Coturnix japonica: one gene and its partner. The protein of the gene in region 2 purifies or fractionates together with the protein of the main gene of each other region. This does not show direct contact. Links are inferred from orthologs where the notes say so. Each region holds a gene or a part of one and is shown on either strand. Other genes may lie near its edges.

Region 1 (3,706 bases), on a different chromosome or scaffold from region 2:
TTGTTTCCCATGTTCCTCCTATAGAAGGGCATTGACACAAAGGGCTGAGCTAACAGCTCAGGTGAAAGCTGAGGACCACTCTGCATCCATACATCTGCTGGGTGACCTAAAGGATGCAAATGGAGCTTCCTGCTTTTAGCAATGCCTGATCAAAGAGCTTGTTGCTGTCAGTACTGCAGCAGAAAGTTCAGAGGTGGCTTTGCATGCTACCCCTCATTATACACACAGCAGCTTAGAGCAGCTGGATTCAAGACAGCTCATCTGTTCTCCTCCCCTCAGTCTGTAAAATGAAGCTCATACTCGCTTCAAGAGGACTTGTAAGGATGCAGGCACATGCAGCATGCTGCTGTTGAACATTCAACATCATCACTTCACACTGTAATTCCAGTGACCACTTAGTTTTCCCAGCCTTCACCAGCCTACAAGAGAAGGCACTGAGGCGGACAGTCGTTACTTTTCACTGCCAAGGCCAATTGAGCTCGGTGTTGTAGGAACAGAGGAAACAATAAATGAGATACACCGTACAAACGAGCTTCATTTTTAACTCCTCCAGGGTGGACAAACCAGGAAGCTGGGACTGAAAGACCTTCCTAGAAAAGCAAGCAGAGCATGAGTTTCACGTGTTTACCATTTCTAGCTCCTCCACACGCAGCTGCTTGCGGCACTTCAGAGATACCCTGTGCTCCTTGGCGTCCTGCAGAGTGTCATTGCGCACCGTTGTGCTCAGACAGATCACAACATCCACCCTGCAGAAAAGAAGAAAGGTTTTTAACCCACGTATACTTCACTTTGCTCAGCCACAACTGAGAAATGAACCCCAAGGATCTACATATCTACGTGTCTATTGGGACACCTCTGTGTGGAGTAATGGGATCACAATTAAAGCCCCTAAATCTGATGATATCTAATGGCAGACTAAACCAACAGATACAGTAATATACTGAACATCCCAACAAAGCTCCTGGCCAGCAAGACCTGTGCTCTTCAAGCCACTGAGCATCTCAGAAAAGCCAAACTACAACCATTAACCTCAGAAATACACAAAGGTAGATATATCTACCTATATGATGATCAGAGGGCTGGAGCACCTCTATTATGAGGAAAGGTTGAGGGAACTGGGCTTGTTTACCTTGGAGAAGAGAAGGCTGCAGGGAGACCTCATTGTGGGCATCCAGTACTTGAAGGGAGTGAATAAACAGGAGGGAGAACGGCTGTTTGTGAGGGTGGGCAGTGATAGGACAAGGGGGAATGGACTTAAACTGAGCCAGGGGAGGTTTAGGTTGGGTATTAGGAGGAAGTTTTTCACCCAGAGGGTGGTGACGCACTGGAACAGGCTGCCCAAGGAGGCTGTGGATGCCCCATCCCTGCAGGCATTCAAGGCCAGGCTGGATGTGGCTCTGGGCAGCCTGGGCTGCTGGTTGATGACCCTGCACACAGCTTTCTGTCCTGCCCTGTAAAACCTTTGCACGCAACTTTCTGCCACATCCACACAGTTAAGCTGCTGCCTGCTGCGGCACAACATACTTTTTTTTGATGTTGGGGCAAAGTTTCAGCACATCCTCCTTGCAGGCCATTTTGAACTTGTAGGAGAACCTGAAGTCTTTCATTTGAACCTGCAAGAAACGAAAAGAACTGAGAGATGTTGGTCACCTGGAGAACAGTCGTGAAAGAACACTCAAGTGAAGCAATTAGCAAACTCTTCTGGCCAAAACTTATTCTCATGGATGTCACAGGGATGCTGCCCCACTGAAGAAACAAGGACCTCGCCCCACACCACATGCCAGGGGGAGGAGGTTTGGAGAAGAAACCATTCCAGAAGTGACCACCAATGCCCAGGCACACAAGCACAACCATCTGAATTCACAAAGGCAAACCTCAGTATTGTTGGAAAGCAATATTAAAAAAGGAAAGGGTTTCCTAATTAGCTCATTCCTGCCAACACCCTCAAATGCAACCAGTTTCCACCGATAGAAAAGCGCTGCTTACCAGCTGGAAGTGAGTAACTCCGATTGCACATTTTTCATTCATTTCCTTCTGGTGTTTGTTCTGTATCAAACACTCCATCAGGTCCCCGGAATCAATCTGGTTATCTGCAACCTCCTGCAGGACAGACAAAAGGCTTAGAAATGAGCTACCCTTACAAGATGGGGTTTTCATGCTCTTTTAGCCCAGTGCACCCACAAGTAACTGAGAACAAGGGGGTTTACACATCTCTTTTGTGAGCACATACTCCCCATACACTGACCATGTGAGTGTTAAGAGAGACAGCTCAGAGAAGAATCATCCCAGATGTATACACACTCTAAATTCAGAGCATAATGCAGAGCTGCAACGCTCACTTGAGTTACTAAGTCAGGTACTCTCACTGCTTGTTAATTACTCAGTCCTAGAGCAATGTAGGAAGCTATTTCAGCATGGTGAGCAGAGGAATGGCTCAGCTCACTGCTTGAGGCAGGAGGGAAGAATAAAGTTTAATTTCCGATCAATTGTGAAAAGTAACTCCCAATTACACGCCAATATTAATCTTCAAACTCCAGCTTCAGTGCTACACCAAAAGCACTACACGGAGCTACAAAGCCTTGTTGGAGGGTTGATGTTTTTTTTCCCCACTGAGCACTTTTGCTACTGCTTATTTCTGCTTTTTCCTTTGAAACGCAGAAAGCACGGCAAGAATATTAAGATCTAACCTTTCCCACAGAGCTCCTTCCCAAGGATGCTGGTACTGAGTACTCACGTGGCAGAAGGTCTGGATAATGGGCTCACACGCTCTCATCAGCAAAGCTTCGATTTGAATGTCCTGCAGAAAACACACCACGTTTCACTTTCACATCATTTGTTCAGACACAATCCAGACAGCCTCACCCTTTGGTTATGGGAATGCCTATGGTCCCAACCATGCAGTAAATGCAAGACAAGCCTTCCAGCTTAAGAGAACATCCTGGTTTCCACAGGTAACAACTCACTGCTTGGATAATCCAGCCAGTTTCCTCCAAATTGGAAACTCCAGCATTAGAAAGCATCCTACACTTAGGCAGGAATTAAAGACTAATGATAGTTGTGAGCAAACCATTTTGTAACCATTGGAAGGAAGCATACCCTAGGGCTTAACTTTGACTAAGAGGTACAGGAAAAAGTTTGGGACAAGATATTCAAACATGCAGCTTCATGAAATAAGCAGAGCTGCTGGCATCAACAGAAAACTGGATGTCCTCTGTGGCAGTTATTGCTTGCAAACTATGTGGGGCCCAGAGGGAAGCTGCAATGTGGTACTCAAAATTACTTGCAAGAAGAACAAAAAAACAAAGTCTCTGAATATATTTTGACTTGTACTAAAGGTGAGCTACCTATACAAAGCTTCTTTACCATAAGCCCTTTTGGGCTGCTAATGGTATTTCTCCTGCTTGCAACCCTTACCTCTTGCTCAGTTCTGTTCCTCAAGGGCTCCCCGTGGAAGGCAACAACATACGGGGTTAAAAGGAGAGCAGTGTTTTTCTATGCTTAACCCCAGACGTGTGTTTCTGCAGCCACCCTTTTATTTTTCAAGTACTGTCAAAATGGCACATTTAACCCCATTGCTCTTCCCTTCATCCCAGGCTGGGAACTGCTCACCTCAGACTCCAGCTCTGTCAGGTTCCCCACTATGTCTCTGCAATCAGACACCAAGTCATCAAGATGGTCCTGAAGACATTCCAGTTCCTATCAAAAT
Region 2 (4,421 bases):
CAGAAGTCCACGTTACTTCCTCAGAATGAAAATCTCACTTTCCAAATGCCACTTACCATCTGTCAAACACTTCTAGTTCTCTAGGCTTTTTTTTATGCTACCATATACGTTACATCTGCAACAGATTTCCCTGTTGTAGAGTACAGATGGAATAAAAGATTGTTTTATAACAAACACAGCAAAATACTGCAGAATTCAAACTGTGTACAATCCAGAACAAGCTACTCTAAGCAGAACACATCTGACTAATGTATCTGCTGTTAATCAGCACCCTATTGCAAGAACTGTTTCCTAAACATCCCTCAGTTTATAAGGTTCAGTGCTGCACATATACCTTCCTCTTAGAGGTGAAGGTCAGTCCCTGAAACACCTTCAAGTCTACAGTATGAAATGACCATATAATGAATTAACAGAGACAAACTACTGGAAATATATGCAACTTGCTATTACCATGAGCTGGCCAAGTGCTTCTTTTAGATAAAGCCACAAGCAGCTGCTTCTACAGAGTTTAAATTGACTTTTTAGGTAGAGAATCCATTTCCTTGACCAGAAATTGAATTATAGAAAACATCTCTGAAATGATGCAGATTGTTTAAGTCAGGGCTCCAAAGCAAGTGTATGAAGTAACGACATCTTTTCCCTTTAATTCCAAAGATTGTGAAAACAAATACTAATTTTTCATAGGAAATAACCTTTCTTGTACTGTCTGATTGCAATTAGACCTTCTGACATCTGAAAAACCTGTAAAAGCCACACTAGCCTCAATATCTGCTCATACCTTTTCAAGGAAAGCAAGAGGCCCTTCAAGTGGCTCCAGCTGTAAACCCTTCACTCTGTATTAGTGGAAGAGCTGTAGCAGCAGAGGGAAGGAAGGAAATAAACCTACTGGCAGTAAACAGAGAGGTTATCAACTTTATCCACAACACAACAGCAAAAGAAATCACTCGAGCAAATCCAGACGCAGCCCTCTGAAAGGAAACAAAGCCTTCAGGAAAAATCTTCCTTATCCCTCGGACTCTAAAAGACAGACTGCTGACACACACAACAAACAACTATGTGTTGTTAACTATTACTACTATTGACTGTAACTATCTCTACATGCCTTGTAATAAAAGTTAACTAGAAAGGCAGCCTAACAAAATAGAGAAGTTTTACTAATTCAATATCAGCATGAGCATAGAATAAAGGAAGGGGGCCCATTTGGAATAGTTAACTATATGATGTCATGTGTTCCCCATATCAAGTTTATTTTCTGTTCCAAAACAAAAGCCCACGAGACTAACATGAGAAATGATTTGGCAGATAGCCTGACATGACAGAGATTTCATAGCACATGGGGGACGAGGGAGAAACCCCCTCTGAAAGTTACACAAGAGGTGTCAGAGAACAGTTGTGTGTAACGCAATAGGGAGGCAGGTGGTGGGACAGCCACCGGGGAAGAGAGCCAAACCAGCAGCACAGTTGATTAAATGTTGGCAAAGTGCTCCACACAAAGATTTACCAGAGGCAGAGGGAGCTGGAGCACAGCTCCATAGGGCACAAGCATGCATCGGTTCTTGTACTGGGTGGCAGCATGAGCATTTCCTTCAAAGAATGATAACAGGCAAAATAAAAAGCTGGATGCTTACATGTACTGCATTCCTTCATGCTTTTATCCATCAGTTCAACACAATATTTATCGCCTCCAAAACACAGCAATCCTAAAACTTCAATTTTCTACTAATTCCAGCACTTCGGCTCCATTAGGAGTAAACCCCTGAGGTAATACGGTAAGATACAATGAAAAACAACAAGCATATCAGCCTGCCTTTCCCCCCGGTTCACTTCCCAGTAAGAAGTACACAAGCCCAATAGTTTTTCCCTCAGCCTCAGTAAATTGTTCCTTACACAGTAAAAGTTAACAAGTTCAAACAAACATTGATGACAATTCAAGCACAGAACACAAAGTACACGCAGAAGTTCAGTGCTGTGCATAGACACGAGAGCTGCACGGTCACTTTCTGAGTTCATTGTACAGTAATTTGACAGGAAAGCGTGTTTAAACAGGGCCCTTTCCCTTAACCAGAGGAAAAGATAAACATATATCGCTTGTTGTATTCTAAGTTACACCTCTTTCAGCAGCTCACTATACTTACAGCACCCACACAACTCCCCACCAACAGTTAAACCAGCGCCCACAACTGAGCAGCTCTGTGCTTCAGTTTTGAAACAGACTGCGTTAAGTTAGCGCTCAGAAAGGAGCTCTAAGAAAGTTGTTTGCTCACAAAGCAAACTGCTTCAAAGCTCAGGAGCTGTGATGCAAAACCAACACGATACCCAAGCAGCAAACAGCCTCAGCAGCTGGCAGGGAACTCTGAAATGGAGCAGAATGGAGGTACCAGGTGTCAGCAGCACCAGGCGCTCTGTAAGGCAGATGTGTCCGGAGCTGCGCTCTGTGCCCAGTCCCACCTCTGACATCGGCCGTGAGCTTCAATTCAGCACCCACGGCTCTTACCACAATTTCCACCGTCAGGTAAACACCGAACGAGCACCAGCAGCGACCCAACTGCGTACCGGCGATCAATAGATCCGTATTGCCCGTACTTCGGATTAAATGACTGAAGTTAGGAAAACTTCCAGGTGCACCCTGTGGGGCACCCTGTGGTGGGGCACCCTGCGGGACCCGCAGCCCGGCGGCAGCCGCCACCCCCGGCCGATCGGGCGGCACCGCGGTGCCACGCAGGCGGCCCCACCGCCCGCCGACGGCCCCTCCGCCGCGCAGCCCCGGCGGAGCGCTGCCTCACCTTGTCCCCAGAGCCGGGTCCGGACGGGAGACACAGCTCGGCCCAGCCGGGAGCGGGAGAGGCACCGGGACCCCTCCCCGCCCCCGCGCCGTCCCCGCCCCTCTCGCTCCGCTGCAGCCCCGCCCTGTCGCCGCTTGATCCGCTCATCCGCAGCCGCCGCCATGGCGAGAGCGCAGGCGCCGCCTTGTCATGAGGGTGTCGGTGGTGGCTCGGGGCGGGGGTGGGAGCTGCTCGTCACCATGGGGACGGGAGGGAAATGGCCGCTAACGGGGAGAGGATGGAGCGTTTTGGGGCAGCGGGGGTTGGAAGGGAGCTCTGGAGATAATCGAGTCCTTGCTCAAGTGGATCCCCTGCAGTCGCATGGCGAGGCCTCCCATAGCCCGTACTAGGCTCTCCGTACTAGGAGAGTGGTTAGGCCCTGGAACAGGCTGCCCAGGGAGGTTGTGGATGCCCCGTCCTTGGAGGTGTTCAAGACCAGGTTGGACGGGGCCCTGGGCAACCTGATCTAGTAAAGGTGTATGTTTGGTGGCCCTGCCAGGCAGGGGGGTTGGAACTACATGATCCTTGAGGTCCCTTCCAACCCGGGTCATTCTGTGATAGCAGGATTCTCCACAGTCTGTCTGGGCAGCCTGTTCCACTGCTCCATCACCTTCACGGTGAGGGAGTTCTTCATGTGGAATTTCCTGAGTTCAGTGTCCTCTTGTAGCAGTTTTAGCCATGTATGTGTTGGTAATATAAACCCACAGCGCATAGATCACGTTGTCATGTTTAAAATAAAACAAATGCACACCCCAGGTTTTCATCGCCTGCCAGTTGCTATAACTGGGAGCGGCTGCAAACTGCTGAGCAACTTTGGAAATGCTGAGCATCCTCTTTCCACTTATGTCAAGAGGGATGGCTGTCAGTACAGACAGAAGACATGTGGTGCCTCCAGTGCTGCCCAGCTGACCAGTGGCACAGAAACTGCCAAAGGATGAATGCCTCCAGCCCGGAAAGTACAACTTCAGCTCCATGTATTTTTCAGTGTTATTACGTGTCAGTGTCTCCAGGAGCCCATTATCTCCGGCCCATGTTCCACTCACGGTCTTTTCATTCTGCTCCTCAAATAGGCAGAGTTAATTAAAAGGCTGAGTATCCTTCCAGCAGCTCTTCTTTTTCTTTCAGGTACATCTGTAGCAATATCTCCAGCTGCAGAAGGTTGCTTTTCCCCTCAGCTGTTAGGTACAAAATGCCAAAGAGAAAAAACAAACAAACAAAACAACAACAAAGTGCCTGAAATCTCACAGAACAACCATGGGCAAGTCACGGTGTCGGATGTGTGAGGAACATGACACCGGGCAGTCATGGCAGCTAGGAACTGCTATGTGTAGCAAGCATACCAGCTGAATCCATGCTGCACTCTTTGCCTCTCCTGGAGGTCACCAGTAAACTCCTCTTACTCATCTCTTAGAGTGCCTTCTTAGCATTACACGTCTTGTATTTCAATCTGCACTAGGAGGGGAGGCTGACAGCATGCCAAAACAACAATCCTTTATGGAGAAGCCCAGTTCTCTGATCACATGGTGTCAGCTGAATTGAGTAAATGCCAACATGGGTTTCACTAGGTTGTGCAAACCTGGGTTGCATCACAGAAATTGT

What was found. The genes of interacting proteins can lie anywhere in the genome.
Region 1: the proteins of OSBPL8 (region 2) and GLG1 purify together in Homo sapiens (co-immunoprecipitation; 3 studies listed by BioGRID and IntAct, with this or other methods). This does not show direct contact. The link is inferred for Coturnix japonica from reciprocal best matches to the Homo sapiens genes OSBPL8 and GLG1.

Annotation. Positions count from the first base shown.
Region 1 is NC_029526.1:834,322-838,027, reverse strand, and holds part of GLG1 (Golgi apparatus protein 1), read right to left. Parts: intron 3,697-3,706; coding exon 3,610-3,696; intron 2,798-3,609; coding exon 2,735-2,797; intron 2,101-2,734; coding exon 1,987-2,100; intron 1,614-1,986; coding exon 1,525-1,613; intron 747-1,524; coding exon 629-746; intron 1-628. UniProt on the Homo sapiens protein: Binds fibroblast growth factor and E-selectin (cell-adhesion lectin on endothelial cells mediating the binding of neutrophils).
Region 2 is NC_029516.1:34,572,384-34,576,804, forward strand, and holds the start of OSBPL8 (oxysterol-binding protein-related protein 8), read right to left. Parts: upstream 2,910-4,421; 5' UTR 2,784-2,909; intron 1-2,783. UniProt on the Homo sapiens protein: Lipid transporter involved in lipid countertransport between the endoplasmic reticulum and the plasma membrane: specifically exchanges phosphatidylserine with phosphatidylinositol 4-phosphate (PI4P), delivering phosphatidylserine to the plasma membrane in exchange for PI4P, which is degraded by the SAC1/SACM1L phosphatase in the endoplasmic reticulum.